Linked DNA regions of Cricetulus griseus. The protein of the gene in region 1 interacts with the protein of each later gene in a pairwise test. Links are inferred from orthologs where the notes say so. Each region holds a gene or a part of one and is shown on either strand. Other genes may lie near its edges.

What was found.
Region 2: the proteins of Kif9 (region 1) and Zbtb8a interact in binary tests that used the Homo sapiens proteins (3 or more experiments, as listed by UniProt). The two-hybrid records come from large-scale screens. The link is inferred for Cricetulus griseus from reciprocal best matches to the Homo sapiens genes KIF9 and ZBTB8A.
Region 3: the proteins of Kif9 (region 1) and Prmt6 interact in a two-hybrid assay, tested with the Homo sapiens proteins (2 studies listed by BioGRID and IntAct). The link is inferred for Cricetulus griseus from reciprocal best matches to the Homo sapiens genes KIF9 and PRMT6.

What each region holds. Positions count from the first base shown.
Region 1 is NC_048597.1:217,964,076-217,974,260, forward strand, and holds the start of Kif9 (kinesin-like protein KIF9), read left to right. Parts: upstream 1-3,867; 5' UTR 3,868-4,240; intron 4,241-4,257; exon of another isoform or gene 4,258-4,662; intron 4,663-5,146; 5' UTR 5,147-5,352; coding exon 5,353-5,389; intron 5,390-8,391; exon of another isoform or gene 8,392-8,498; intron 8,499-10,185. Other genes in the region: Klhl18 (kelch-like protein 18), read right to left, coding at 3,671-3,799. UniProt on the Homo sapiens protein: Essential for normal male fertility and for progressive motility of spermatozoa.
Region 2 is NC_048595.1:23,659,734-23,670,014, forward strand, and holds the start of Zbtb8a (zinc finger and BTB domain-containing protein 8A), read left to right. Parts: upstream 1-4,677; 5' UTR 4,678-5,050; exon of another isoform or gene 5,051-5,139; intron 5,140-10,281. UniProt on the Homo sapiens protein: May be involved in transcriptional regulation.
Region 3 is NW_023276806.1:46,953,399-46,963,817, forward strand, and holds Prmt6 (protein arginine N-methyltransferase 6), read left to right. Parts: upstream 1-3,850; 5' UTR 3,851-3,905; coding exon 3,906-5,036; 3' UTR 5,037-5,142; intron 5,143-7,256; 3' UTR 7,257-8,873; downstream 8,874-10,419. UniProt on the Homo sapiens protein: Arginine methyltransferase that can catalyze the formation of both omega-N monomethylarginine (MMA) and asymmetrical dimethylarginine (aDMA), with a strong preference for the formation of aDMA.

The DNA.
Region 1 (10,185 bases):
GAACATAAATAAACTCAGATAAATTCAAAACTGCACACTTAGACCAAGTGTGGTGAGGCATGCCTTTAATCTGAATACTTATGATCATGAATTCAAGGTCATCCTCAGCTACATAGCAAATTCAAGGCAAGCTCAGGATACCTGAGACCCTGTCTCAAAAAACAAATGCAAACAGTCAGGGTAGTGGTGCATGCCTTTAATCCCAGCCCTCAGGAGGCAGAGGCAGGTGGATCTCTGTAAATCCAAAGCCAGCCTGGTCTACAGAGTGAGTTCCAGGACAGCCAGAGCTACATAGTGAGACTCTGTCTTGAAAAAAACAAAACAAAAACCACCACCAACAAAACACTAATAAGATAAAGCAAAAATCTGCAAACGGAACACATACATTTATTTATACTTTCTCTGGAAGCATCATTAAATTATTATTAATGAATCAGACGCAACAGTATGCCCCTATAGTCCCAGTTACTTGGGAAACAAAGGCAAGATGACTTGAGCACAAGAGTTTTGGGGCAGCTTGCTCAACACATTGAGATCTTATCTCTTTAAGCATTATTATTAAGGACTAGAGAGATGGATCTGTGGTTAAGAGCTCTGACTGCTCTTCCAAAGGACTCAGGTTTGATTCCCAGCACCCACACAGCAGCTCACAACCATCTATCATTGTATTTCCACAGGATCCAATGTCCTCTTTGGCTTCTAAGGGCACCAGGTGCACAAGTGGTACATAAAAATATCCATATACATAAAAACAAACAAACAAAAATATATTAATATACATACATATAAATGAGACAGACATGTTGGTGTATACTTGTAACCCCAGCATTCAGTATTCAGGAAGGCAAGGCATGAGACAGATGGTTGAAAGCCAGCTTGGGTAACTTAATGAGATCCTATCTAAAACACATACAGATAGATAGATAGATAGATAGATAGATAGATAGATAGATACACAGACAGATAGATAATAAAACACAAACACCTACTATTCGCAGAGCATTCATTACATGAAGTTTGAAGTTCATAAAGTAATTGAATCGTTAGCACTCAGGTAGGTAATGATGTCCATTTACAGAGGAATAAACTGACTCCCTATCATTAAGGAATTTAAGTTTTTTCAGCTATGAAGTGGCAGAGCCAGGATTCAGATCAGTGCAGAGTCTGTGTCACACTGCATCTCAGATCATCAAGCAAAGTTCCCAACGAAAACACAGCACAGTGAGAGATTACAAACATCAACAAATGATTACAAGATGAAAACCAGACAAGCCAGTGCCTGACCCGGTAGAGAATTCTGAGCAATGCAGAGGTCAAGCAACTGCAGAATAACCTCCAACTCTGAGCACTAGGAACACCAGTCTCCTCTGAAGGTGTGTCATGAGGAGGGGCCCAAAACAGGCAGTACTGGTCCCCTCTACTGGGCAGGCAACTGTCCTGCCACTGCCCTAATAAAAAAACATCTGAACAGGATAAACTCGTGACTCCAGACTTGGGTAACTAGGGCATCCCCGAATACAAAGATTTATTGATTATGCATCTACACTGAAAGAGCAAGTACTTTATTCTATAGCTTGGTTCTTGGAATGTAGTACTGGATGATAGCATCACTGGTGAACTTGACAGGGCCCATGCCATACCTATGACTCAGAAATTCTAGGGTGAGCTCTAATGAACAACAAGTCCACCTGACGAAGTTTGAGAACCATTACCCTAACTGGGGGGGGGGAGGGGGGCAACTAGTTACTACATCATCACGTGCCAAAAAGCCTCTAACTGGTTCTTCAGTGTCTGCTTAACTAAAAACAGTCAGGATTCACCAGAAGTTTGAGGTAAGACTCGAACAGCCCTTGTTGTAAGTAGTGAAATGTAGACCTGGCCTTTCTATGGCTCCCAGCACCACTGAGCTCTCCTGAGGCTTTATAGAAGAGAGTCTATAGTTATGTTTAGTTCTAACCTATGTTTTTTGTTTGTTTGTTTGTTTTTGTTTTTTTTTTTGGTTTTTTCCAGACAAGGTTTCTCTGTGTAGACCTGGCTGGCATTGAACTCACAGAGATTCGCCTGCCTCTGCTTCCTGAGTGCTGGGACTAAAGGCGTGTGCCACCACTACCTGACACAGCCTAAATCTTTTTAAAGACATTTTTTTATTGTGTGTGTGTGTGTGTGTGTGTGTGTGTGTGTGTGTGTGTGTGTGTACATGCCACAGCATACTTACGGAGGGCAGAGGACAATTTCCAGGAATCATTCCTATCCTTCCACTATGTGGGTCACAGGGATTGAACTCCGGTCATCAGGCTTGGCAGCAAGTTGCCTTTACCTGATCAGCCTATTGCCAGTCCAAATCTTAACACAAAACTTCTTTCTTCCTACTGCTTTTCACTAGTCCCCACTCATCTTAGATGTTACTGCCACAATTAAGTCACTCTTCAGCTTCCAAGTCTCTAGTGGCCTTGACACCTTTTGCATCCTTTAGTCCGGGTTAGTTTTAATAATCCTCTTGGTTTCCCTGTTTTACCTGGGGAAATCCTGCCCCTTCTTAGGCCAGTTCAGTACTCTAATAGAAAACCATTTCTTTCAGGGGTCATGAAAAAGTCACAATAGGTGTTGTACAAAGAATACCAAACATCTCATTCAATCCTCACTAATAGTGAGATTTAGGAGTCATCTTTATTTCCACATTTGAAAAACTTAAGCTTGGGGAGATTAAGTAACTTGCCCAAGGTTACAGCTAGTATTTTCATGCAAATCCTTCTGTCTCCAAAGCCACTCTCAGACTGCTTTGCTTTTCAAAGTGCCAAACTATTAACCATCCTACTTACCAGTCTGACTCTAATATGTGGAGAAGCAAAGTTTCCTTAACTAAGTAGAAAGCAAAATCGAAAAGGTGTCTGTGTCTTTCTGCTGTTTTGAAACAGGAAGAGGGAGTGTTAGGCACACACTAAGAGCCTTCCAGGCAAAGTCCAGCAGGAAAAACCACAGGCAAGTAGCATCTCCCCACCTGGAGGGCATCCACCTGGCTCAGCAGTGTAGTCAAGAGGCAGCCCAGCTTGATCCAAAGCACAGGACACCAGACCAGAATGCTGGTAGGGAACAGGTGGTGAATATATTCCCCTCCCCAAGCAGCCCATTAGCCTGGCCTCCAGGACCTTTTGGTGGTGACTGCGGGTTATTTTCTAGCGTGGGGCAGAGTAGTCCACACCAAAAGATCTCCAGACCCGATTCTAAAAGCGCCAAGGGCAGGCAATGACTCCTGAGGAGATGGCTTATTAGCCTGTACAACAGCACAGCCAACTTCAAGGAGCACAAAGGAATGACTTTCTGACAAGATAAGATGTTTTAGTGTGCCCATCGGAATGTGGAGTCAGCCACCGCCCCTTCCTCCATAGACCGGCTGCAAGAACATTTTCTCTCGTCTGTGTGACAGAAAAGGAGGCGGATACCCCAATGTCTCCTTTTCTTAGGGCGTCAGCGGCACAACTCTCGGTCTTTCCTTCCAATGGCTGAACGGCTGCCCCTTTCCTCTCCCAACTTGGCCTCAATCCCCCTCTGCGCTTGGCACCGCTCTCCGTCCCACCCTGCTCTCTCTAACCTCTCTTCCCCGGTCCACCACCCCGCTTTGCTTCCCGCCCGGTCCCTTTGCTTCAGTCAGCCACCGCCCAGACCCCGGCACCTTGAGCGTCACATCGCACAGCTTGCCCTGCCGCCGGATCTCCTCCATGACGCCGTAGCCACGACTAGGCAACTCCGACACGGAGAAATGCACCAAGTCCTCCAGCTCCTCCGCGCCGTCCTCCACCATCTTCCCCGGCCGCCGCAACTGCGCAGGCCTGGCCGGCAGGCTTCACACTCACCAGGGCGGGGCAGGGGAGCACGCTGACGGCAGCGCGGAGCGCGAAGCAGAAATCCCACGGCCCTGCGCGGCCGCCGTACGCACCGGAAGTCCCGATGCCCCGCTTCCTGGTTCATACATAACCTTCTTTTGCCGCAACCTAAACCCCAGTTTCGCCTACGCAGGTGCTCCAAGCCTTCCAGGTTAATCGGCCCCATCTAGGTCCTCTTCGTTCAGCCCTGACTTTGCCTGTACCTTCAACGGGGGAGTGAGGACTTCAATTCCGCCACCGCTTTACACCACTTCCGGAGTCCCTGGAAGCTTCCCGTTGCCATGGCGACCGTGTACACAGCGGGTCGTCAGGCAGTCCGGATTCCTCCTTGGAGTCGCTGCAGTTACAGAGGTCGCGAGGTGAGCAGTAGCCACGCGCCGGTGGGGTTAGGTCAAAGAGCACTCGCGCGGATATCCGCCCTGGCTGCCGCCAGCGCCCTTTTCTGTAGAAACCCAGGCACCCCTAGAGAGCGTGTTGTGTCATCTTGTGCCCCTTCAAGCCTGATCGCGGCTTAGGGGAGCGTCAAGTTTTTGAACTAATGTTCTCTAGTCCCACGAGTCTCCCCCGGGGTCCCACGACTCGCCCTAGACAGAGAGGGCGTGAGGTTGAGTGTCAGGGGTCATTCGGACGCTTCACGCCTCAGTTTTCGAACTGGAGAGACCTTCGGCATCTTCACTTCGATCCTTTCGAACGGCAGAGGAGGAAAGCTCTGCAGAAGGGCCTGGGAATGGGAGCGAGTTCGCCTGCCATGAACGCTTTAGGAAAGCTGTCTGTCAAAAGGGTGAGAAATGAGAGAGAGAGGCTGGTTTTGCCTGGATGCCAGGTTTGGGTTCACCTCACGGTGTGGTACAGTAGGTGTTGTGGGTGTAGATGCTGCTGTTTCTCGGGCAGTCTTTGTCTCTGGTCCAGGTAAGAGCATGGCAGATAGGGACCGCCAGTGCCTACCAGTCATCCCATCGAATGTCAAGTCTTCATGAGGCCTTCCCAGGCCCCAAACAAATGAAGGAACACTGAATCTCTCAGCACAGAGGGTTCATTTTATCAATCAGCCTTATCCAAAGATTTTGTTCAAATGACGAGAGGGGGCGGGGCTTCCGTGCAAAGTCCTGAGGGAAAGATACACTATCTAATGCGGAGGGTGTGTTGAGAGACTGAACATGGCTTCTTGTACCTGGAAATCAAGTTCTTCTTAAGAAGCCTGCAAGTTCAGGGGTTAGAGGTAGCGTGGGAGAGGAGTGACATCGTATACCTTGGAACTTTCTCAGTAGTGACTGAAGATGGACCCACCTATGGAGATTCAGTCACCCTCAGACTTCCAGCCATGACTCTCACCACCAACCACCATTTATTGAGCACCTGCTGTGTGCTGGGCGCTGTTCTGGACCTTGTGGGGGGAATCACAAGAGAGAAAAGGCACACTCCTTGTCCTCACGCAGCTTGTAATTTCATTTGGGAGCTGAAGCCCACATAAATGAAGCGACATAAGAACGGTAACAAGCAGTATTTCAGTAAGTGCAAATGGCATGGCTTAGACGCGCTGTTGAGCTGTAGGCTTGTGGGAGGAGTGTAGGTCATGGGAAAGGCTCCTTGCAGCTTGCAGACTCCAGGAATGTTTGGTGGCATGAGAGTCAGGAGAACCTATCTAGGGAAGAATAGATAGGTGGCTGCATGTGCATGTTGAAAATGTTAGCTTATACCCAATGGCACTGGAATTTTGCTGGGCAGGAAGCTGGGCTGTTGGGGTTTGTGTTTGGGAGGGTTTCCCAGAGCTGTAGAAACTGAGTAAAAAGCACACCTCTCATTTGGAGGTGCTGTCCCAACACTTGGGAAGCAAAGGCAAGAGGACTGAGAGGTCAAGGCCAGCCTGGGTTACACTGTGACACACTATCTCAGGGAAAACATTATTTAAAATCACGAACAACAAATCACTTCTCTCTATTCTCAGTTTCTCAGTAATATAAATCAAAGTGAACTTGGAAATGAAATCTTCCCTTTGGTTTCCTCAATTTGGGGTTCACATTAGAGCTATGTGTGATTTTTTTTCCAAGAGCTCAATTTTTCAGACAAATGGTTCAACCAAGCTTCGTTCTTTTCTTACCCCAATATTTTTCAGATTAATTTTCTAAAAACAACCACAAAAAAAACCTCTAAAAGATACAAGAGTGCTAGGGAAAGACTTCCATGAAATAGGTACTCAAGCGGTATAGGAAATGCTTACACTGTAACAGGCAAATTTGGGGGTACTGTGTTTTTTACTTGATTTGAGACTTGCAGTGCATACCATCGATGGGTGATGCTCTCATTTTATCCACATCATCAAAACTGTAAGCTGGAAGAGTAGCACCTTCCATTTAATTTATTTCTGTAGGATACATAACATCATATGTATTTGTAATGTAATTGTAAGAGGAAATGATCTCAAGTTGTGTATAGACATGTGAAAGCCATTAATAGTTTTAAAATCTAAAATAATTTTTGTTAGGTAACATCGTTGCACCTCTATTAGAAAAGTATATGTAAAAATGTTACTATTACTTATTTGATACGCTTTTAATATTTTATTTTAGTTTATTAAGTGTGTGCATGTGTTTGTGTGTGTGCACACGAGCATGTGCGCACACCCATATATGCCAAAGAATTTGTGTAGAGGTCAGAGGATAGCTTGGGCCCTTTCTTCCACTATCCTGGGGATCAAACTCAGGTCATTAAGCCTAATGGCAAGTGTCTTTACCCACGCCATCTTGTTGAGACTTCTATGTCTTTTTCATGTGTTTGTTTGACCCAGAGTCTCACTACAGCATTGGCTATAGACCAAGTTAGTCACAAACTCATAGATCCACCTGCCTCTGACTCCTAAGTGCTTGGATTAAAGGTGTGTGCCACCACCACCCGGCCCCTTATATGATTTTTATGAATATTAGAAGAGGTTCTATTTCACATGAGAAAGTTTTCCTGTAAAGGTTTTTTTAAAAATCCTTAAGCATCCCTTCAATTTGTTAGAAGACTGAATCATGTTCCTTTGTCTGACATGTCTCTAACTTTTCATAAATTCAGTGAATTCTTTTGCTGATAGATGCTTGTTTTTCCTTTTCCCTTCTCTAGCTTCTTCCCTACTCCTCTCCTGTCTCCTTCCCTCAATAAAAGTGCAGGTTACTTTGGGGGAAGATGCTTTATTCCTTCTTGAACTGGCCCAACCCTAATGGAGTATACAGTGCAGCCTACATCCTGTATTTATTGTATTTAAATTTGGTTTTGTGCATTGTACAATAGTAGTTCTAAATGGTATTATTTTTTGAGATAGGCCATTGTTAATCCCTGACTGGCCTTGAACTCACTATGCAACGGAGAATGACCTTGAAATTGTTATGACCATCCTGCCTCCACAAGTGCTGGGGTTTTAGGCAGGCACGGTGCTGCCTCAACATCTGACTCTTAGGAAGGGCTCATCTTAGAGCTGTGAGACGTCTCACTGGGTAAAGTCCTTGTCGCTTCAAGCATGAAGACCAGAGTTTGGATTCCTCGAGCCCACATAAAAGCTGCTCATGCTGGAGCTGAGAGACATGTGCATCCTGTGGGCTTGCTGGCCAGCAAGTATAACCAAAGTGGTGAGCTCCGGGTTCAGTGACAGACCCTGCTTCAAAATATAAGGAGGAGGTCAACAGTGCAGACATTCCTTTTCCACCTCTAGCTCATATGCTCACTAACATGAGCCAGTGCGCGCACACACACACACACACACACACACACACACACTCACACACACACACACACACACACACACACACACACACACACACACACACTCACACACACACACACACACACACACACACACTCACACACACACTCACACACACACACACACTCACACAGGTGAGTGCACACATGTACATACCCAAATGTCTCAGTTTAATTTAGCTAGATTTAACAGAATTAATGATTATTACAAGTAGATTTTACTTCTCTTGCCTTAGAGCACTGAAGATTTTGTGTCAGTACTTAGTCCTTTATCATCACTATATATCATGAGACACTGGAAAAAGTGATCAACTAGCCGGGCGTTGGTGGCGCACACCTTTAATCCCAGCACTCGGGAGGCAGAGGCAGGTGGATCTCTGTGAGTTCGAGACCAGCCTGGTCTACAAGAGCTAGTTCCAGGACAGCCTCCAAAGCCACAGAGAAACCCTGTCTCGAAAAACCAAAAAAAAAAAAAAAAAAAAAAGTGAACAAGTGCTCATTCCCCCTTAAAGTCATAAAAATGAATTGGGTATCACAGTATGCATCTGTAATATAGCACTGAGGAAGTGAAGACAGGAGGGTCAGGAGTTAAAGGCCAGCCTTGGGCCAGTGAGATGGCTCCTATGTAAAGGATGTTACTTGCCTTGCAAGTCTGGTGACTGAGTTTCATCCTTGGAACCCATGTGAAAGTGGAAGGCGAGAACTGACCCCACAAATGTGTATTCTGATTTCCACACAATTAAATTAATTAACTTTAATTTAAATTTTTAAAAAAAATATAGAATGCTTCACGAATTTGCATGTCATCCTTGCGCAATGGCCATGCTAATCTTCTCTATATCGTTCCAATTTTAGTATATGTGCTGCCAAAACGAGCACTTTAATTTAAAATTTAATTTGAAAAATAAATAAATAAAACTTAAAAGGCCAGACTGGGATACATGAATACTAGTCTCAAGACAAAACAAAATTAGTTGAATTATCAGTTGCATTTAATCACTTGTTTGCTTTTCCACTCTGAATTAAGAGCAGCAGTCCAATTGGTAGAATCTCTTTCAAGTAGCATTTTGACTTTACTTGACCTTTAACCAAGCTTGCCTCCCTATCACTTCTATTTTATATTTTACAAGTGTTCATCCCACAAAGCTGTATATATTTGTCTGTAGACGGAGTTTCTGTCTCACCTGGTCCTACAGCTGCTTTGCCTCAAATAAACACAGAGGCTTATATTAATTATAAACTGTATGGCCAATGGCTTAGGCTTCTTACTGGCTAGCTTGCTCTTAATTATTAACCCATTTCTATTAAACTATGCATTGCCATGAGGCTGTGGATTACCTGTAATCCAGCATGTTACTCCTTTGGCAGCTACATGGTATTTCCCTTTCAACCACTCCCTGTGTCCTTTCCCCAGAATTCTCCTTGTCTAGTAGCCCTGCCTATACTTCCTGCCTGGCTACTGGCCAATCGGTGTTTTATTCGTCAACCATAAGAGAAACATATATACAGAAGGATGTCATTTGTCTTCAGTCACTATACTATAACAAGACAAACACACACACACACACACACACACACACACATGTATGTATGTATGTATGTATGTATGTATGTATATAGGTATGTATGTATGTATGTACGTATATAGGTATGTATGTATGTATGTATGTATGTATGTATGTATGTATGTAGTGAGGAAATGGAGAGATGGCTCCACAGTTAAAATCACTGACTGCTTTTCCAGAGGACCTGTGTTCACAACTGTAACTCTGGCTCCAGGGGAATCCATTCCCCTCTTCTGGCCACCACAGGCACTGCACATACATTGCACATAGACATTTATGCAAGAAAAACACCCATACACATAAAACAGACTTTTTTTTCCCCAGACAGGGTTTCTCTGTGGCTTTGGAGGCTGTCCTGGAACTCGCTCTTGTAGACCAGGCTGGTTTCAAACTCAGAGATTCGCCTGACTCTTCCTCCCAAGTGCTGGGACCAACGGCATGCACCACCACCACCCGGCAAAATAGACTTTTTTTTTTAAGGTGAGAATATAGTTAGGTTTTAGGAGAGCAAGAGGGAACAAGAGACTGTTTTTTTTTTTTTTCATCAATGTGAGAGAAGAAAGACTATTGGATTATGGACTAGATCAAGAACTCTTAATTGGGACTTCAGATGATTCAGTGGTTAAGAGTGCTTATTCCGCTGGGCGTTGGTGGCGAACACCTTTAATCCCAGCACTCGGGAGTTCGAGGCCAGCCTGGTCTCCAGAGCAAGTGCCAGGATAGGCTCCAAAGCTACACAGAGAAACCCTGTCTCAAAAAACCAAAAAAAAAAAAAAAAAAAGAGTGCTTATTGCTCTTCCCAGCACCCATATCAGGCAGCTCATTACTGCCTATAACTCCAGCTCCAGAAGATCAGACTCACTCTTCTGGCCTCCAAGGACACTTGTATGCTGTTGCATATACTCACACAAACACACACAAATAAAAATAAACATTAAATTAAAAAAAGAATATTTAATCTAGGGCCAGCCAGATGGCTTGGCAAATAAAGTGCTTACTTT
Region 2 (10,281 bases), on another chromosome or scaffold:
GTCAGTGCTCTTAACCTCTGAGCCATCTCTCCAGCCCCCCTTTATTTTGGTTTTTCGAGACAGGGTTTCTCTGTGACTTTGGAGACTGTTCTGGAACTAGCTCTTGTAGATTAGGCTGGTCTCAAACTCACAGAGATCCACCTGCCTCTGCCTCCCCAGTGCTGGGAGTAAAGGCATGTGCCACCACTGCCCGACCTAACAATTTACTTATTAAGCTTCTAATTTAAGCAGAAATGAATTTTTACATTAGAAGTTCACATAAATGCAAGAAGAGGTGGGACACAAGGATGGAAAGCATCTGGAAACAATAGCTAAAGTCACATCGTAGGACTGGCCTGGTGAGGATACCAACACTGTTCTCAGCAAGTAGGGACAGCCAGCTAGCATCACAGCATTGGAGGGCAGCAATGGACGCTGCCACTGGAAGCACTGGCCCTGGAGCTACTGTCACTGTCACCACTGTTAGAGAAAGATCCTCTGTTGTTCTTGTGCATTGCTGTTGTAGTTCCCTCAAAACGGTACATCCGATGGTCAAAGTATAAACAATGTCCATTATATCTGCAAGGAATTCTGGGTAAGTAAGTCAGGGTAGACATCAAAGCTACACAGAGGGTAGTTTCTACTTCCACCAATTAACCACAGAGGAAGGAATTCTCCAAACTATGGTTTTCAGGTAACATGCATATGAAAAGGCTGAAAATGTATGGCATACATACAGAAAAGATAAACACATCAACCTGAGTCACAGAGACACCTCATTCTCAACATGTCCAAGCTGGTTTATGATCTTTGTGACTCTCCTATTCTACTAAACAAAACAGATGACAAAAACTGGTCATCTTCCAGGCTCCTCTCTTTCTTTCTTTCTTTCTTTCTTTCTTTCTTTCTTTCTTTCTTTCTTTCTTTCTTTCTTGACAGCCCTGAATTAGCTGGTACTATCTTTGTAGACCAGGCTGGCCTGAATTCAGAGTGATCCACCTGCCTCTGCCTCTCAGATGCTGGGATTAAAGGTATGAGCCACTGTTGTGTGACAAAACTTTTACCAGGAGAAGAAACACACTCATCTTCTCACCCCAGACAGGGTTCCTATGACAGATTAAACTACAGACACCACCAAAGTCCAGCTTGGAAAATCAATGAGTTTTTTGGGGGTTACTTACAGGAGTATGGGTGAAGGGTTACTTACAGAAGCAGAAATGACTCAAAGACAGCTGCATCCCCAAGGTCCACCCCAGCATGGCTGACAGCTCCAAAGCTGGGAACCTGAAGCACACTGCAAAGCCTGCAGGCAGCTCAGCAGGTTGGAGAGTGTCCTTTCCAGGTGCCTTGGTTGGTCTAAACCTCTTCCAGGCAACTCAGGTGGCCCAGAGTCTTCCTTACAGCTGGGCTCTGCAGTCTCTAGCAGGAAGGGGCCTAGGGAATCTGCCCAGTTCCAGGGAGTTCTTGAAGGTGTTTCTTGCTGTTTGGCTCTTTGCTTAAAGAGCCCCTACAAGATGGAAAGTTTTGCTGAGCCTTGTTGGTGCATGCTTTTAATTCCAGCACTCTCAAGGCAGAGGCAGGCAGATCACTGTGAGTTCGAGGCCAGCCTGGTCTCCAGAGCGAGTGCCAGGATAGGCTCCAAAGCTACATAAAGAAACCCTGTCTCGAAAAACAAAACAAAACAAAAAAACAAAAAAAAGGAAAGTTTTCATCACAGGCTGTTACACAACAACCATCAGGTTTGACTCACTCTTTCTTCCTTTCTTCTCTTTCCTCTCTTCTCTCTCTCTCTCCTCTCTCTTTCTTTTTTGAGACAGGGTTTCTCTGTGTAGCCCTGGCTGTCCTGGAACTCTATGCTGGGCCAAGAGTTTGTTTTGTTTTGTGTTTGTTTTTTTCTAGACAGGGTTTCTTTGGAGTCTATCTTGGAGCTCACTCTGTAAACCAGACTGGTCTCAAACTCACAGAGATCCTCCTGCCTCTGCCTCCCGAGTGCTGGGATCAAAGGTGTGCACCACCACTGCCCGGCTGGGCCAAGAGTTTTTATTCACTATTGTATTTTAAGAGTCAGCAGCAAACACCTTGCTCATAGTATGTGCTGAATAAATTCCTGTGAAATTGGAAGGAGATGCTAGAGAGATGGCTCAGTGGAAAGATCACCGGAGGCTCTCTCACAGAGGACCTGGGTTTGAGTCCCAGAACTCACGTGGTGTCGCATAACCATCCTAACCCCAGTTCCAGAGGCCCGGTGCCCTCTGCTGGCTTCTACCACCAGCAGCAGGCACATAAACAGTAAGGGGCTCCTGTAAGTAATCCCTCACCCATATTCCTGTAAGTAACCTCAATATACACATACGGACAAAACATTCATTGAAGGGACCAGCTGCTCCTTTCAGCAGCCATGACAGTAACACATGCTTGCCAAGACCTTGTCCTAGTCACTAGAAGTCAGATGCCTGCCTCGTGGCAAGGAACCAATCAGAAGTTAGCTGATGGCGCTATGCTTTACGGCTCTGGGTGTGCTTTACGGACAAGTGCACGGCAATGGCGCACAAAGCATAGCAACCAGTTGACCAATAAACACAGGGCAAGCCCTCCAAGCCTGGAGGCACACCAATCCTGAGCCTGTGCATACCCCTAGACACTCCCCTTATGCTGCCCTATAAGATCTTTCGGGAGCCCCTAGGAGCCGTCTTTGCTAGCCATCTGCCATGGTGGGTGCTATCAAAGACCCGAGCTAACATGGGGTTAGCTCGTTAAACTACAATAAAGCCTCATGCAATTTGCATCGAGCTTTCGCCTCCATTCTGTGTTTGGGGTGGCCGAGGTCCTGGGCTAAGATTCTGGAAGCCTCAGCTTTCCTAGGGTCTAACAACTGAAGTCAGGAGGATGAAGATGAAAGGAAAACTCTTTCTCCTCGGAATACAGTGCATCAGCAAGCAACCTTATGTGGTCTGTCTAGAAGCATGCTTACAGACTTGTTCTATTTTATGTGCTCACTTGTTTTTGGAGAAAGGTCCAGGTGTATAGCCTAGGCTAGCTTGGAATGCCTGCCGGGCCCTCCAGTTTTACATCTGCCAGTCGCTGGCCTTACAGCACACCTGGCTATGTTGGCTGTTTGAATTCACTAACACTAAAAATAAAACCTTTGGCCAGACGCAGCGCAGCGGCACACACCTCGCTTCCCAGCTGCTTGGGTGGTTGAACAAGACAATGATGATAGAGCGAGCCCAGGAGTTCAGGGTGGCAATGGCATTTAGAGTGGAGGAAACACACCACACACACACACACACACACACACACACACACACACACACACCATTTTCCCCCTTCAAATTCACCTGCTTTCCATTTGGTGGGGCCCCTCTGCTCTGAGATGTGGTTTGGATTGACAGGATGACCTGGCCTAAATTAACCGTGGCCAGTGTGCCCTGGGGCTCCCCTACATACCTGTCTGGAGTGTAGACTAGGGCTAGCTTCCAGATCAGAGACATGAATAGCCGCTGGAGAATTGTTTCCAACTTCCTCTTGGACGCAGGAATGGACAAAAGGCTGCTATTTGCAAGCATTGCAAGCCAGGCCCCCTAGGGTGCAAAGGAACCTTCCTGGTTGGCTTAATTGGCAGCAGAATGTTTTTGTTTTGAGACAGGGTCTCCTTGTGGCTGCCCTGGAACTCTCTTTGTAAACCAGGATGGCCTTGAATACAGAGAGACCTGCTTGCCTCTGCCTTTCCAGTGCTGCAATAAGCTACTATAATGTCCAGCTCTTTCTGGGATAAATCTTCAATGGGAATGTTAGAACAGCTTGAGCATATTCAGCAATGCTGAACCATAACGGTTTTCTTTTTCAAGACAGGGTCTCACTATGCGGCTCTGGCTGTCCTGGGAGGGCTTCTAACTCAGAGATCTGCCTGCCTCTGCCTCCTGGAGTGCTTTGATTAAAGGTGTGGTAAGGATTTTCAAACTAGCTTCTGGCTACTTTTCCTTCCATTACCTCAAAAGGTAAAGAAACACATCTAAATCACAAAGCAACTCTGGAGTAAACAGGTATAATATTCAGGAAAGACCAAATGTTTTGTTCTAGCTAATCGGTGAGGAAACCGAAGAAACAAGACCCTAATAGGCCCAACTAAGACTTGGGAGAGGAACCCCTCAAAAAAACATTAAATGTATGCTTTGAAGATTTGAGTCTCCCCCCATTTCATCATAATACACTATTTCACAGCAATTAACAACTAATATGAGGAAATATAAAATTAATTTAGTTTAGCTTGGCGGTGGTGGCACAAGCCTTTAATCCCAGCACTCGGGAGGCAGAGGCAGGCAGATCTCTGTGAGTTCGAGACCAGCCTGGTCTACAAGAGCTAGTTCCACGACAGCCCCCAAAGCCACAGAGAAACCCTGTCTTGAAAAACAAAAACACAAAATAAAATCATGTTCTCAATATCTCAGCCTCTCTGGGCTTGCCTTTTCAAATGGTCTGAAGGGGACCTACAAAGGTTTCTAAAGGGTTATCCCTGACTAGAATAAGTGCTTCGATAAAGAGAGGAAATTTGTGGAAATCTCTTCCATTTGACGTTGCTAAACTTAAGAACAATAATGTCATATGTACTTATACAGTAATTGTGGGCACGCCTAAGTCCCTCCCTCTGTCCTTAAACCAATATCCCCACATCTTAGAAATCCTAGCCCTTTTTCTGCCCTCCGGAGGCGCCTTTCCCAACGTAAAGTACAATTTTAAAATTTAAGCTCGCGACTAAAAGAATGATCCGCAGTCAACTGCTGGGGAATCTGGGCGCCCCAGCGCCTGCGGAGGGTGCAGCCGGGTGTGGGCACGGACAGGGGGAGTGGGCGAAGCTGCTGGTTGGTGCCTGAAATCTGTGCGTTGCCCCTTTAATTGTGTCCTCAGCCCTCGGGCGTTTCTGTCCAACGCCCACGTCAGCAAATACCTTTTGTTTCTCCCACGTTGGGGCTACTTGTTTTAGGGCGCACAGCCTCGGCTTCGGAAGGGGGTGCTTCCCCCACCGGGAACCGGGAATTACTCCGCAGCGAGCACGAGCGGCCAGAGCCCCGCGGTAAGTGGCTGCGAGGGCGCGGGCGGGCAGAGGGCGGCCGGGGCGTCGGGGCTGCGGGCCCGGCCGAGAGCCTGGCGGAGGGCGGCGAGGCCGCCGGGTGCGCCCCGGTGTGTAGGCGTTTTCGGGGAGAGCTCCGGGGCCGGCGACGGCCACAAAGGAGGCACGGGCGGCGGCGCGGCGGCCCGGGCGCGGCTGCGGGACAATGGCTGCGTCGTCGCCGCTCGCGCCCGCGCCCCGCCCGCGGCCGGCCCCGGAAAGGCGGGAAGGCGCCGGAGCCTCCTGGCGGCGGCGGTAGGGAGGCGGCGCCACGGAGTCGGGGCGTGTCTGCAGCCGTCGGGCGCCGTGGCGGGGGAAGGGCGCGGGGCGCGGGCGCGCGGGGCGCGGGGCGCGGGGCGCTGCCGCCCGGCGTTCTCACTCCACCCACCGCCCTCTCGCTTTCGATCACGACACGACACGACACGACGGTTCCGAGCTTAGAACCGAGGACAGGAATATGGAGCCCCAGCTGGCTCCCGGGAGAATGTCCCTGGCATCTCCCACCTGGCGACACTATCTGGTTTGGTCCCTTCGCGCTCTGGCGCGCTTAGTCGCCCTTGACCGTGCGGTTAGCAGTATTCCACGTCTTTCCGAGACGTGTTTGGAATGGGATTCACACCTAGCGGGCACCCAACCGCACACACCGCTAACACCTTAGAAGTCTTTATGTTTGCAGGACTTTAGTAAATGGAGTGGTTTCGCTTTCATGAAATAGTTCACTTGATTTCTTATAAGACAACTACCTGTTCAGGCCGTTTATTCTCCCTTGCAAAGGAAAGACTCTAACCACGGAATCTCACCCCTAGACAGGGAGTGTTGACAACTTCTCCAGCCCTCCTATTCCAGCAGCCTCCTGGAGCAGTCAGTCTCCAAGAACCAAAAACCTTCACTGATCTTTATCACTTAAGGCTTACTTCCATTTACCTATTTAATTTTGTTTTAAGCTGGACTCAGGCTAGCTTGAAATTTTGATTCTATCTCTACCTCGGGAGGGTTGGGATGAACTAGTCGAATTTCAGTCTGTCTTAAATCTTTTAATGGCATAATTATATTCTTTAATATCAAAGGGGTTGATATAAGGTTGTTGTTGTTTTTTTTAAATTTTCCCTGATTTTTAAAAAGTATCTTCTTTTGAAGACAAGGTCCTATGTAGCCTAGGCTGGCCCCAAATCTATATAGTTTGTGATGACCTTGGACTCCTGTTTCTCCTACAGCCACCTGTCAAGTGCTGGGGTTGCAGGCATGAATCTGTGCTGGAATTGAACCCAAGACTTCATACATGTTTACATAGGCACTCGACTAATGAACCATATGCCCAACCCTCCCCAAGCCTTAAATGGCAACCACCCCCACATCTTACCAAAAAAACCCAAAGGCTCAGAAGACCTATAGTCTTCAAGGCCTTATAGGAACTGGGCTCACTGTGTTTGTGTGTGTGTGTTTCGGGATTGAACCCAGGGACTTGCACACGCTAGACAAATATTTTACTGTTGGGATACATTCCCAGACCCCTTCCTTATTTATTTATTTATTTATTTATTTATTTATTTATTTATTTATTTCTCAAACAGAGTTTCTCTGTGTAGCCCCGGCTGCCCTGGAACTCCTGACTCTGTAGACCAGGCTGGCCTCGAACTCATAGATCCACCTGCCTCTGCCTCTGGAGTGCTGGAATTAAAGGGGTGCGCCACCACCATCCAGCCACATTTTTTTTTTTTTGGTTTTTTTGTTTGTTTTTGTTTTGTGAGATAGGGTTTCTCTGTAGCTTTGGAGCCTCTTCTGGCACTTGCTCTATAGATCAGACTGGCTTCCTGAAAGACCTCAGAAGAGGTACTTTCGTAGAAGGAGACCCGCACCCAGGAATCAGCGAAACCACGAACTCTGGATGTAAGAGCAAGAGGCTTTATTAGTAGCGCTGGTACCCCGGGGCTTAGCTTTTGGGTAGGCTAAGCCCCGAGCCAAGGGAGAGGGGTCCTTATATAGCTAAAAAGCACAGTGCAGAAGCGAAAAGCATAGTTACAGGGATTCTATTGGACAATTTAATGAGGTACAGAGTTATCAGTATATTCTCAAGGTCTGCACCTGGTACAACAGACCCAATTCCCCCCTCCGCGTCCAGATGGCTGACCTTGGGACGGAGGTTCCCCATGGGGGGGGCGTCCTCTCCCCGCTCGGCCCCAGCCCCGGGGCGCGGCGCCAGGCGGGCGGGCCTGGGTCGAGGGCCCCCCGCCTGGGTGAACCGGCTTGGGAGGGAGCCAGCCGCCAGGCGTGTGGGAGTGTGCGCGCGTACGGGAGTGTCACCGAGAGAGAACCAGCCAGGGGGCGGGGTCTTTCACTCCAACTCACAGAGATCCACCTGCCTCTGCCTCCCGAGTGCCAGCCACATTTTTTTTTTGGTTTTTTTTTTTGTCTCTTGGCTTTGGAGGCTGTCCTGGAACTAGCTCTTGTAGACCAGGTTGGTCTCAAACTCACAGAGATCGGCCTGCCTCTGCCTCCTGAGTGCTGGGATTAAAGGCATGCGCCACCACTGCCCAGCCACATTTTTTTTTAAAGTAAATTTATTTTGAGATGAGGGTTTTCTGAGTGGCCTAGGGCTGCCTTGGACTTGCTCCTCCCTGCCTCAGCCACCCAGCTCAGCTGGCATTATAGACATAGCTCTCCCCACGCCTTCTCCATGCTTGTTCCACTCAGGGCCTTTGCATCCTGCTGTTCCCTTTGTCTGGAGTACTCTTGTTTCAGATACAAATAAATGACTCTTTCCTACTTTGGACATTACTCAAATGAAATGTCATCTTCTAACTGAGGCTTTCAGCTATAGTTTGTCTCTTTTTTTTCTTAAGTTTTAAATGGTGTTTTGCCTGTAAGTGTGTCTGTATACCAAGTGCATATGATAGTGTTGGATCCCCTTGGATGGTTATAAGCCTCCTTGTTGGTGCTGGGGAGCAAACCAGGTCCTTAGCCAGTGCTCTTAACCATCTCCAGCCCCTCTTAAATGTGTTTTTGTCTTTTGGGTTTGTTTTTTTTCAAAGCAGGATTTCTCTGTGTAGCCCTGGCTGCCCTGGAACTCAATTTGTAGACCAGGCTGATTGTGAACTCACAGAGATCTGCCTGTCTCTGCCTCCCCAGTGCGGGGATCAAAGGTGTGCACCCCCATGTCCAGCAAATATTCTTGTATTTAGTTCTAAAGATCTCCTGTCTTAGGTCCTGTAGCCCATATGTGCTACTGAAACCAATTATCTGAGATTAGATAACACAAAAAGAAGAAATATTGCTGGGTGGTGGTCTTACACTTCTTTAATCTGAGCAGAGGCAGGTGGATCTCTGAATTTGAGGTCAGCCTGGTCTACAGAGTGAGTTCCAGGACAGTTGAACGAACAAAACAAACAAAATAAGAACAGATATTTATTTTTCACAGTTGTAGATGCTAGAAGTCCAAGATTAGGGTGTTGGCGGTACCCTGACAGGTGAAGGCTTCTTTCTGCTCCAGTATGGTACCTTGTTGCTACATTCACCAAGGGGAAAACTGTGACCTCATTAGTAAAATGGATAGGAAGGCTGAAGAGGGGTCAGACCCATTTCTCCAAATCCCTTTATTAGGATGCTAATCCCATCCATGAGGGCACCCTCCCTGGCCTGATAACCACGTAAAAGCTCCTCTAAATACTCTTCCCCTGAGAATTAACTTTCAGTTTGAATTTCGGAGGAGACACGGCCTTTTACAGCACAGCTCTTAAGATGGACTTAATTCTAAATCTTCCCAGAATTACAAGACCTTCATTTTCTGAAGAATATAACCACTGTTCAACGAACACAATTACCCTTCCAGTTAACTCAAATTTAGGAGCTAGGGGTTTTTGCTAAGACCAACACACTTAGGTCTAGATAAGTGGTTCTCAACCTGGGGTCGAGACCTTCACAGGAGTCGAATATTAAAACATCCTGCATCTCAGATATTTAATTATAACTCATAACAGCAGCAAAATTACAGTTATGAACTAGCATCGAAAATAATTTTATGGTTGGGATCACCACTACAGAAGAAACTGTATTAAAGGATGGCAGCAGGAAGGTTGAGACTCACTGCCCTGGGTCAATGCTGTGAATAGTATCAGGCTTTACTTGTTATCCAAATCTACATGACTTTCTATTCTAAAGACCTTCAAACTAAATGGTTCCTAAAATATGTAATTGTCTTTTCCCACCACCTTTTAAAAGATCACTGACCTTAGTGGGAATTTTGAATTCTGTAATCTTCTTAAGGGCTACTATAGATACTTAACTCAGAGATATTGTAAATGTTCCATTTGACTTTTGGATGACTCACCTGAGGTAATCTAACCGTATTTGCTAATATAACTTGTAAGATCAGTCTACTGAAAATAAGAAAATCTGGAAGGCATTATCCATGCCTGTGACTTAGTCCTGTAAGCCTAAAATCAGCCTTTTGATGCAGGATACTGTTTGCTATTGTAAAGTATGCTGAATGTTAACAAGTTAATGAGGGAGCCAGTTACTGAGCATGTTGTGAAGGGATCCCCACACAACGGGATGCTCCTTCCTAGACCCTGGATTAGGCACAGACCACACACCTATTTATTTCTTTTTTTTCTTAATTATTTATTTGCATTTATGTGCATTGGTGTTTTGCCTGCACATATGTCTGTGTGAGGGTATCAGGTCTTGGTGTTACAGATAGTTGTGAGCTGCTTGTGGGTGCTCTTTAACCACTGAGCCATATGTCTAGTCCTCACCCCACCCCCCACATACCCATTTTCACGGAGAGATCCTTTATTAAGCAGGGAAGAAAAGTGGCTGCATTCTGACTCAGGCAGAAAAGAGCAGCAAATGACCTTACAGGTGTAATTTTTAAGAGACAAAAAGGGAAAGTCTATGTTAGAATGGCCTAGGATGCCATGGTATGTTTTGATTGGGCATGTTAACTAAGGTAGCCCAAAGAGGCTTTTTGTTTGTTTGTTTTTGGGTTTGGCTTTTCCAGACAGGCTATATCTCTGAGTAGCCTTGGCTGTCCTGGAACTCTGTGTAGTCCAGGCTGGCTTCCAACTCACAGAAATCCGCCTGAGTACTGTGATTTAAGGCATGCACCATCACACATGTGCACCCGCGCGCACGTGTACACACACACACACACACACACACACACACACACACACACACACACAACACACCATACCTCA
Region 3 (10,419 bases), on another chromosome or scaffold:
AAATGAAATAATTCTCATTTCTGAGAAGATCTTGAATTCAATCTATACTTGAATTTACCTAAGTTTTCCAGCATGATATAGAGACATGCTCATACTTAACAAAACTTGAGTTCTTCATCTGGATGAAAACATGATTGTTTATCCACAACAGTCCAGTCAAAATCACTCAATGTGTCATCCCCAGGTGTCTTGTACTCCCTGCTAGGGACTATAACATAAGTTCAAATCTCATGGAATTTACCTTGCTTAGAAAATAAATTAAGTAATTAGATATAAACAGTTAATAACAATAGCTATGAAGGAAAAACACCGGCATCTTGGATGGGAAAATATTAGACAAGGAAGGCATTCTGTGTCAGGCCACTTTTGTGAGGTGATAAAGAGGGAGTTCTTTTCTGGGCTTTGGCCACACATAAGTGGATATGGGACCCAGAAAAGAAGTATTGGTGTTAGAAGATCAGTGAGTGTGTCTTGATCCCACTGATGAGTCAGCAGTGCTGCTATGAGGTAAGATGGAAATCACCTGAAGTTACCTGTTTCTCTCAATCAGAGAACAGGAAATCCCTCAAGTGATATGAGCTTAATCTTTCTTTCTTTCTTTCTTTCTTTCTTTCTTTCTTTCTTTCTTTCTTTCTTTCTTTCTTTTGAATTTTTCAAGACAGGTTTTCTCTGTATTGCTTTGGAACCTGTCCTGGAACTCACTCTGTAGACCAGGCTGGCCTCAAACTCACAGAGATCTTAATGCCTCTACCTCCCAAGTGCTGGGATTAAAGGCTTGTTCCCGAAAGCTTAATGTATTTTTGTAATGCTCACATGTGCAAGCTATGAAGAATGGGTTAGTTAGGGGTGTGGGTAGTAGGAAGGAGATTCCTTTGGAGACTGATTGATTGCCAGGCTAGAAAGACACCTCCATCTTCAACAGGGTTAGATTTTTCTGAGGAAAAAAAAAAAAACGAAAAAAGCAAATGAACCAACAAAATGTTGTTTAGAATATTTTCACAAGAACCACAAAGAAGCAAAGTGAAAACTGGATTGATAACAAACTCATTCTGAGGGTGGTGGTGGTATACGCCTTTAATCCCGGCACTCAAGAAGCAGAGAAAGGCAGATATTGTGAGTTCAAGGCCAGCCTGGTCTACAAAGCTGCACCGAGAAACCCTGTCTTGAAAAAACAAACAAACAAACAAACAAACAAACAAAAACCACTCTGAATAAGGGAGATGGTTCAGTAGGAAAAACCCTTACAGCCAAGCCTGGAGACTGGAGTTGGTTCCCAGGTACCACATGAAGAGGAAAGCGCCAGCTTCCTCAGTTGTCCTTTGGCTTCCACAAGCATACCATGGCATTTACGTGTATGCACACATGTATAATAACACAACTTAATTAATTAATGCAATAGCTTTTAAAAATCAGAATATTTAACATATCCCAAAGGAAAATGACACTTTAAGGACAGAGTGGAAGCAGTATAAGCTAGGTTAAAGCCTAATGTGTGTTATAAAATTCTCACATTTATAACTAATCTCATGTCCCATTCTGGGTATCATTTGTTAAAATAAGATATTAAAACAAGGTAAAAAGAAGAATACCTGTTTTAAGGATTTTCAGTTGTAAGTTGCTGAGCCCTGACTGTTGGAAATAATGATATAAGATTTAACTAATGAAATTAAATCAGAAATAGCAATAATTACCTGGTTTCACACGAGGATTCCCTAGGGAGCTTTAAAAGCTAGATGCCTAAGTTCCCCTGAGTGATTCTCATTTAACTGGGCTGAGGTAGATCCTGCCATAGATATTTCGATAAAGTTCCTTGGAGTATTCTAATGAGCCACCAGGACTGAGAGTCCTGAGTTTAGAAGTACAGTTGAGGAATTCACATGGATAAACCTATTTCATTAGTGAAATTCTATCACCAGGAAGTTTAGCATAGATAAACAAGTATTTTAACACAAGAAAACAAAGGCCCATTTTCTTTTGTGGGATTAATTTTTAAGCTTGGAAAATAATGTTATTCTTGTTAAAGAAACATTTAGTTACCAGTGAAGAGCACAGAGGTCCAGACCAGGCTGGTGAAACCCACAGAAACAGCTGACCTGAACATCTGGGAGCTCTTGCTCCCCAGACTGACAGATGGGAAACCAGCATGGGACTGATCCAGACCCCAGGAACATGGGTTTCTGTGAGGAAACCTCAGAAATCTATGGGACCTCCTGTAGAAGCCCAGTATTTATCCCTAGTGTAGGTGTGGACTTTGGGAGCCCATTCCATGTGGAGGAATACTCCCTGAGCCAAGACACACACACACACACACACACACACACACACACACACACACACGGGGGGGGGGGAGCCTAGGCCCTATCCCAAAGGATAGAAAGACTCTGATGACACCCTATGGAAGGCCTCACCATCCAGGGGGAGCACAAAAGACATGTGACAGATAAGATTGTCTTGTAAAACAATCCTGTTTCTAATTCAAATTTAAAAAGTTAGAAAAAAATCAAAAAACAGAAGTCAATTAAAGGTAAGAAGTAATTAAAAACTAAAAAAAAAAGAAAAAAAGAAACAGTTGTCGGATGGTGGTGGGGGCACGCCCTTAATCCCAGGACTCGACGCCCTTAATCCCAGGACTCGGGAGGCAGAGGCAGGCGGATCTCTGTGAGTTTTGGACCAGCCTGGTCTTTGAGAGCTAATTCTAGGACAGCCTCCAAAGAAGCCCTGTCTCAACAAACCAAAAAAAAAAAAAAAAAAAACCATTTAGTCATATAAAAAGCTTTGCTTACATGTATGGGTATGGGTATTCTGTCTGCATGTTTGTCTGTGGACCACATACCTACTTGGAACTCTTAGAGGCCAGAAAAGGTCAGCAGATACCCTGGGACTGAAGTTAAAGCCAGTTGTGGGCCTTCATAAGGATGCTGGTAGTCCATCCTGGGTCTTCAGGAAGGGCAGCCAGTGCTCTAAATTCCTGAGCATTCTCTCCAGCTCCAGACAGCAAATATTTAAAAATTATTGTACTTCTGTTATGGACAATGAAAAGATATTAACAGTTCCTGCTTGAATGACGAAAAAAATAAAAGGAAACAGACATCGGGGTTTACAAAGCAAACTGCGTTGAAAAAGTAGTCAAAAGACAAGAATTCCATCATTCCCTCAAGAAAAATATGTATAGATATATAGATTTATGTATATCTGTATGTGTTTATGTATAAACTGGTTACTAGATACTCACTAGTAATGGTTTTGGGTTTGAGAGTATCACACGACAGACTTTAATTGTTCTTTAGTTTGAACCATAGGAGTTTTAGAACAGGGCTCAAGTCGAAGTAAACTATTCTCCAGAAACACAATGGTGGGTGAAAAGGCATTTGGTGGCCACAGCAGTTCTACTACTTGGCCGGGATCTTTCAGTCCATTGGGGATCATTTTGGACTCAGAACCAAGATCCTGTGTTGTTAGGTTTTCACTTTGCCCCACTTACACATTCTTTGCAACCTAACTACAGCTAGAACAGAGAGCTTGATGAGTTACAAGTGCCGGGGAAGGGATCTGAACCGTGCCACCTCAATTCAGTAGTGGCACTGAATTGGTGGGCATCCCCATGAGGGAGCAGAGATTCATAGTTGTGAGTAGGTGTGCCTTTTCAAGAATAGGTGAAACGGATAGAGACCGAGGGACAAACGGAAAGAGCAAAAACTCAAAGAACCCCAGCATAACAGCGTGGTCGTAGGGGAAAAGTATGTAAAGTTTTACAATGCCCTGTAGTCCAATGAGATCCTCAGCGCGCATCCACCCTAAAGAGGTGGGATAACCAGCGGGGACTACAAATCCCAGCAGCCCCCGGGACTCGGAGTCCGCTCGCCGCACCGCGCAACGCCTGCTGGGGGCCGGCTGCCTGGGCCAAGATGTCGCTGATCAAGAAAAGAAAGCTTGAGTCGGGGGGCGGCGGCGGCGCAGGAGGGGAGGGAGCCGAGGAGGAAGATGGCGGGGAGCAGGAGGCAGCCCCGCCACGACCCCGGAGGACCAAGCGCGAGCGGGACCAGCTGTACTACGAGTGCTACTCCGACGTCTCGGTCCACGAGGAGATGATCGCCGACCGCGTCCGCACCGACGCCTACCGCCTGGGCATCCTGCGGAACTGGGCCGCGCTGCGAGGCAAGACCGTGCTGGACGTGGGCGCGGGCACCGGCATTCTAAGCATCTTCTGCGCCCAGGCCGGCGCCCGGCGCGTGTACGCCGTGGAGGCCAGCGCCATCTGGCAACAGGCCCGGGAGGTAGTGCGGCTCAACGGGTTGGAAGACCGCGTGCACGTCCTGCCGGGCCCCGTGGAGACGGTGGAGCTGCCGGAGCAGGTGGACGCCATCGTGAGCGAGTGGATGGGCTACGGGCTCCTGCACGAGTCCATGCTGAGCTCCGTGCTCCACGCGCGGACCAAGTGGCTGAAGGAAGGCGGTCTCCTCCTGCCGGCTTCCGCGGAGCTTTTCGTGGCCCCGATTAGCGACCAGATGCTGGAATGGCGTCTGGGTTTCTGGAGCCAGGTGAAGCAGCACTATGGCGTGGACATGAGCTGCCTGGAAAGCTTCGCCACGCGCTGCCTCATGGGCCACTCGGAGATCGTGGTGCAGGGTCTGTCCGGCGAGGACGTGCTGGCCCGGCCGCAGCGCTTTGCCCAGCTCGAGCTGGCCCGCGCCGGCCTGGAGCAGGAGCTGGAGGCCGGTGTAGGCGGGCGCTTCCGCTGCAGCTGCTATGGCTCGGCGCCTCTGCACGGTTTTGCCATCTGGTTCCAGGTGACCTTCCCTGGAGGGGACTCGGAGAAACCTCTGGTGCTGTCCACCTCGCCTTTTCACCCGGCCACGCACTGGAAGCAGGCGCTCCTCTACCTGAATGAGCCGGTGCCGGTGGAACAAGACACGGACATTTCTGGAGAGATCACTCTGCTGCCCTCCCGGGACAACCCCCGACGTCTGCGCGTCCTCTTGCGCTACAAAGTGGGGGACCAGGAGGAAAAGACCAAAGACTTTGCCATGGAGGACTGAGCCTTGCCTTTTCTCCCACCCACCTTCTTCGGAAGGTCCGAAGAGGAAGGGAGAGTGACTTCAGTCTTCATTTGAGGACATTCTTCTGGCAATGTTTATTTAAAAAGTGAGCCTCCCTGACCAAGGACTGGTGCAGTGTGCTTATTAATGTGCTTTTAAGTCTGGAAAGCATGTAGTGTCAAACTTGTATTTCTGTTTCTTTGGTTTCACTTTGGGGGGCGGGTGGGGGAAAAAATATGAGTTTATAAATTGGCCGAGCACCAATCTGACACCTCCTCCCTTATCTCAATATGAAACTGGGAAGAAGAGCAAAATGGCTCGATTAGATTTCAGAAATTTCAAATCATTTTTAGAGTGTTTTGGTTTTGTTTTGGGTCTCTGAATTCTCTCAAGTCCTAGGTGGCTGTAGGATGAGGTACCTTGTGTTCTAGTTAAAACTCATCTGGTTAGTGAGGAACTGGAGCACTCGTGAAGTACTTTAATTAGCCCTCTTCTCATTACTCTTAATCCGTGGGGTGCTAAGTTTGATGCTCACAATAATCTTAGTAAAATGACTAATTGTACAGCCCGTCTAGGCAACTCTTAAAGGAGAAGAAATTTGGAAGTGAAATAATATGGGTTTGAATATCCTTATTTTTACTTTTAAGACTGAGCCAAGAAAATTTCATATATGTTTTATAAAAAATATTTTATGATTCTTGTAAAGCCGACTGACAAAGATTGCTGAACACAACCCAAGAGTGTATGTATTCTTTACCTCATGTGCGTTATCTAAACTCATTTGGAAGGAACATAAGTGTCCTACTTACAAGCTCCTTTCTTCAGTTCTTTTTAGTTCAGCCAAACGGGAACATTGTGAATTTGGGGAAACCACTCTTAATGAAGTGTGAGTCATGTTATCAAATTTATTTCACTGACGTTTTTTCCCTCATTTCTGTGGCAAATAAAATGGCATTCTCACTTTTTATAGTTGAGGTCTTAAGACGTTTTGTGTACCATCTATGAGTTTATTATAATGCTGTACCCAAGTCTTAATAGTGTCAGTTCTTAAGTGTTACAGCTCCTGCAGAACACAGCTGGAAGACAATTCAAATTATGATTAGCACGGTTTTTAATTCTTTTGGAAAGTTTAACAGAAAGCAGTTCTGAAAACTGGTGATCTTGAGTACTCTTGAATTTTAGTTTCTGTAATCTTACTCTGTTTTTGGCTTTTTTATTCATTGCACATTAAATTGCTAAAATATCAAAGCTAATTTTCTGAGCTCTGTTTTGAAGAGAAATATACAAATATAAAGCCTTCTGTGTTTCAAAACAGTCAAGCACTCCAGTAAAATCTTAAAATTTTGATGTCAAATACTTAACATCTTTTAAAAATGCTTGGTCTGGAAATTTAAAAGCTAGTTCCTTTGGGATCATCTACGTCTTTAATCAAGCCTTCACCTGGAGTGATTGCTGATGCTTTTGATTGACCTTTCGTATTTGAATGTGTTCTGTGGACTCCCTCTTTTCGGCATATTTTGTAAATACAAGTACTGTATTGGGGGGTGGGGGGGAGAAAAAAGGACAAGAAGGAAAATCCAGTTAAAATTTGGGAGGGTGTGAAAAGAGATTAGATTTTTCTGACTGAACAAAGTAAGTTTCCAAATTCTAGTTATATTTTCTCGAAAGAAAGACAAATTAGACAAATGGGGGTGCTGAAGCAGGCACTAAAGGTGAGAAGCAGGGTGTAGTGCTTAAGGCCTAGAGCCAAAAAATCCAAACATACTTGTGTACCTTCAAGCATACTAGCACATCCCCCCACCCCACCCCCACACACACACAATTTTTTTTTTTTTTTTTTTTTTTTGGTTTTTTTGAGACAGAGTTTCTCTGTATAGTTTTGGAGCCTATCCTGGTACTCGTTCTGGAGATCAGGCTGGCCTTGAACTCACAGAGATCCACCTGCCTCTGCCTCCCAAGTACTGGGATTAAAGACGGTGCGCCACCAACGCCTAGCCACACTTTTTTTCTTTTCGAATCCCTCATGTAAACTGGAGATAATAATAGTACCTACTCCACAGACAATTGGGGATATGAGTAATTAATATAGGTAACCCAGAAGTAAGCTTTCAGTTCCATGGTGCTGAGTTTGTGTAAAAGGCAACCCTAGAGCTGTCTGAGGCTACATACAAAATGTGCTACAGAATAAATACTCACTTTGTTTTTCTTTTTCTTTTACAGGCACCTTTTGACATTATCAACATGACTATACAAGAAGAGCAGCATATGCCACTGAGTACCACAGGATCCAAAGAGTGCCGCAGCCTTTGGAATGAGCACACTTGGGAGGGATGAAAGCTAGAGGCGTGTGGACACCCAGGCACTGTCTGATATGTTATGTGGATTGGGACTGGTAACGTGGAGCCCTCAAGGTTCCAGGCCTAGATTACCAGACCCAAGAGAGAGCATTATGGTAAAGTTCACCTACCTCCCTCACAGCTTACATTCATTTAACACTGTGGAAACTCCTATTTTTTCCCATTTATTGAGCCAATGAGCGTAGTTAAAACTACAATCTAATAGTCATTGTGATAGGTATTTGGGACTACAAACTAAAAGAATCTGAACTCTGCCCTCTAATACATAACTGCCACTAGAGAAACTAAAAGCCATGATGATAGGATGGGCTGGTTTTAGTGTCAGAAAGTATATATTTATTATTTTACACATTAAGTAAAAAGGTTTCTATAGAAATTGATTTGCATATATATATATACATATATATATATATATATCTTATATGTATAAATACTTTATTGTTTTGTGAGATGGAATCACAAGTAGTGCATCACTGTCCTGCAACTCACAATGTAACTGACAATGACTTTGGACTCTTGATGTTCCTGGCTCCACCTTCCAGATGCTGGAGTTAACAGCCCTGTACCACTGTGCCCAGCACACACCTAATTCTTCAAAGTTAGATCTTAAGCACAGCTCTTTGACTTCCTTAGCCTGAACAACAATTCACTGTCATTGATCCTTCGTATTTCAGTAGAGAACAGAACACTACAGACCACCATAATGGTAACAAAGGTTTAATTATTTGATGATAAAGGAAAAGTTTAGTGCTAGAAAGACTCAACAGATGAGTCTAGACCTTCCTGGATCGTCTGCAGGGTACAACTCCTTGAGTTTGAAATAGTAGCCACTCACTGGGACAACCCCTATTTTTATTTCCCTAACAGTTAATCAAAGGTAACACTCTGGGGTCCTCAGGAAACTGAATCCATGACAGTAGCAAAGGCAAGTGAACTCCTTGTCACGTTGGCTGAGGGGCAGCTGATAGCTCTCAAGGAGATACAGAAAATGGAATAAGGAGTTGGGGAAGGTAGACATCAAAGTTGCCTGCTGCAAACAGCTGCCAGCCCTGCTGTTATCCCCACAGTTTACACCACCCAGTACCTAGGATAGATGGTACCTAGGGAGCATTTGCAAACACAGGCCACATGCCCCCCATATGGTCATCTATGTATGTTTCTCCATTAATTTTATTAACAACAACTACATAGTGTTTAAGCACTATAATAAGTACATCCTCCTCTGAAACATCTAGAATACAATGGGAACAATAAAATGACATCAGTCATTCTTGTCCGTCCATAAGCCTGGAAACCCTTTCCAGTTCTTAGCTCTGCTGAGCCAACTTGGAAAGGCAGTTCTCATCCTTTAAGCCTCTCCAAGGATTGAAAAATCCTCTTCCTACCAATAGGTAGATTGTGAACACTATAACACAGAGGGTATATTAAATGATAGCTCTTCCTTGGCTACTAAAACAAATAAAATTCTAAGACAAATCTATATCCAGTTCTCTCTCTCTCTCTCTCTCTCTCTCTCTCTCTCTCTCTCTCTCTCTCTGTGTGTGTGTGTGTGTGTGTGTGTTATCGTGTGTGTATGTCTGTTTCTGTGTGCATGTGTGTCTGTCTTTGTGAGCATGTATGTCTGTTTCTGTGTGTTTCTCTGTATGTGTCTATTTCTTTTTTTTTTTTTCTTTTTTTTTTTTTTTTTTTTTTCCGGTTTTTCGAGACAGGGTTTCTCTGTATAGCTTTGGAGCCTATCCTGGTACTCGCCCTGGAGACCAGGCTGGCCTTGAACTCACAGAGATCTGCCTGTGAGGATTAAAGGCGTGCACCACCAACGCCCGGTGTGTCTATTTCTCTGTGTGTATATGTGTGTGGGTCTTTGTGTGTGTGTCTGTGTCTGTTTCTGTGTATCTTCCACAGCTTTCTACATGATTTCATTCGCATGCTCCCATTTGTGGTTTATCCTTTCAATTGTAATAAATATTACATGTTTTGTTGGAATTTATGTAACCTGGTCTATTCTTTGAGGTTTTTAAATACTTTTGGAGGACTGCAGTCACTGGTTGGATACTTAACTAGCTAGCCCAGGCAAGCTCCTGAATTTGATGCCCAGCACTACAGAAAACAGTCTGCAGTAAGTGGAGAAGTTCTGAAGATGAAAAGGTTTCAGATAAAGGAACAGCAGAGTAAGCATGACACCTTTGTTTCCAATAAAATGGGAAATTACCCGAGGTTTTCCATTTGGATCTGTAGCTGGTTTGGTACCATCCTTCTGGCCAGTTTTACAGATGTTGACACTTTTAAAGAATCAAATCTTTGAAAGATGTGAAAAATGCTCAGCTGTTTTTCCTCAGCCTAGATCAGACCTGATAAATCTTCTACATCAAACTAAGGAGGGGTACAGATTTCTAAACATTTTCCAAAATGCACCAAAAATAGTTTAATGAGAAGAAAGGGTGTGGGATATTTAGACTACATCTTAAAATATATGTATCTGTGGGAAAAGCTATTGGGATGATTTAATTTAATTCAACACTAAAAGGATTTTATATCAGCATATGACCAGTAACATAATTGTAACTTTTGGAACCTTTTATAATTAAATTGCTCATCATAAACACTGTAGGGGACCCGGAATCTGCTTTGCAGAAGACCCAGAATCAATTCGTTTTGCGCACATTTTGTTTCACAACAGTCTGTTCCAGTTCCAGGAGATCCACAACAATAGGATAAAAAACAAGAGATGTTAAAACCTATTGAACTTGGTCACTGAGTATATTAATAAAACCACAAATCAAAAAAAAAAAGTTTAAAAGAGAAGTTCCTCACAAACACTGAAGTAAATGTAAGCAAATGGAGCTTGCTAGGAAGGCCTGAGGAAGACTTCAAGAACAAAATGCACAAGGATGGGGGAGGGGCTAATACGACAAAGTTCCAAGATGAGAATGTGGCCAAAGAGACCCAATGGAAAGAATCTGTGGATCTAGAATGTGGTGACTTCCTATAAGGCTTGATATATTCAGCTGCAAGGGTACCTTTGATCA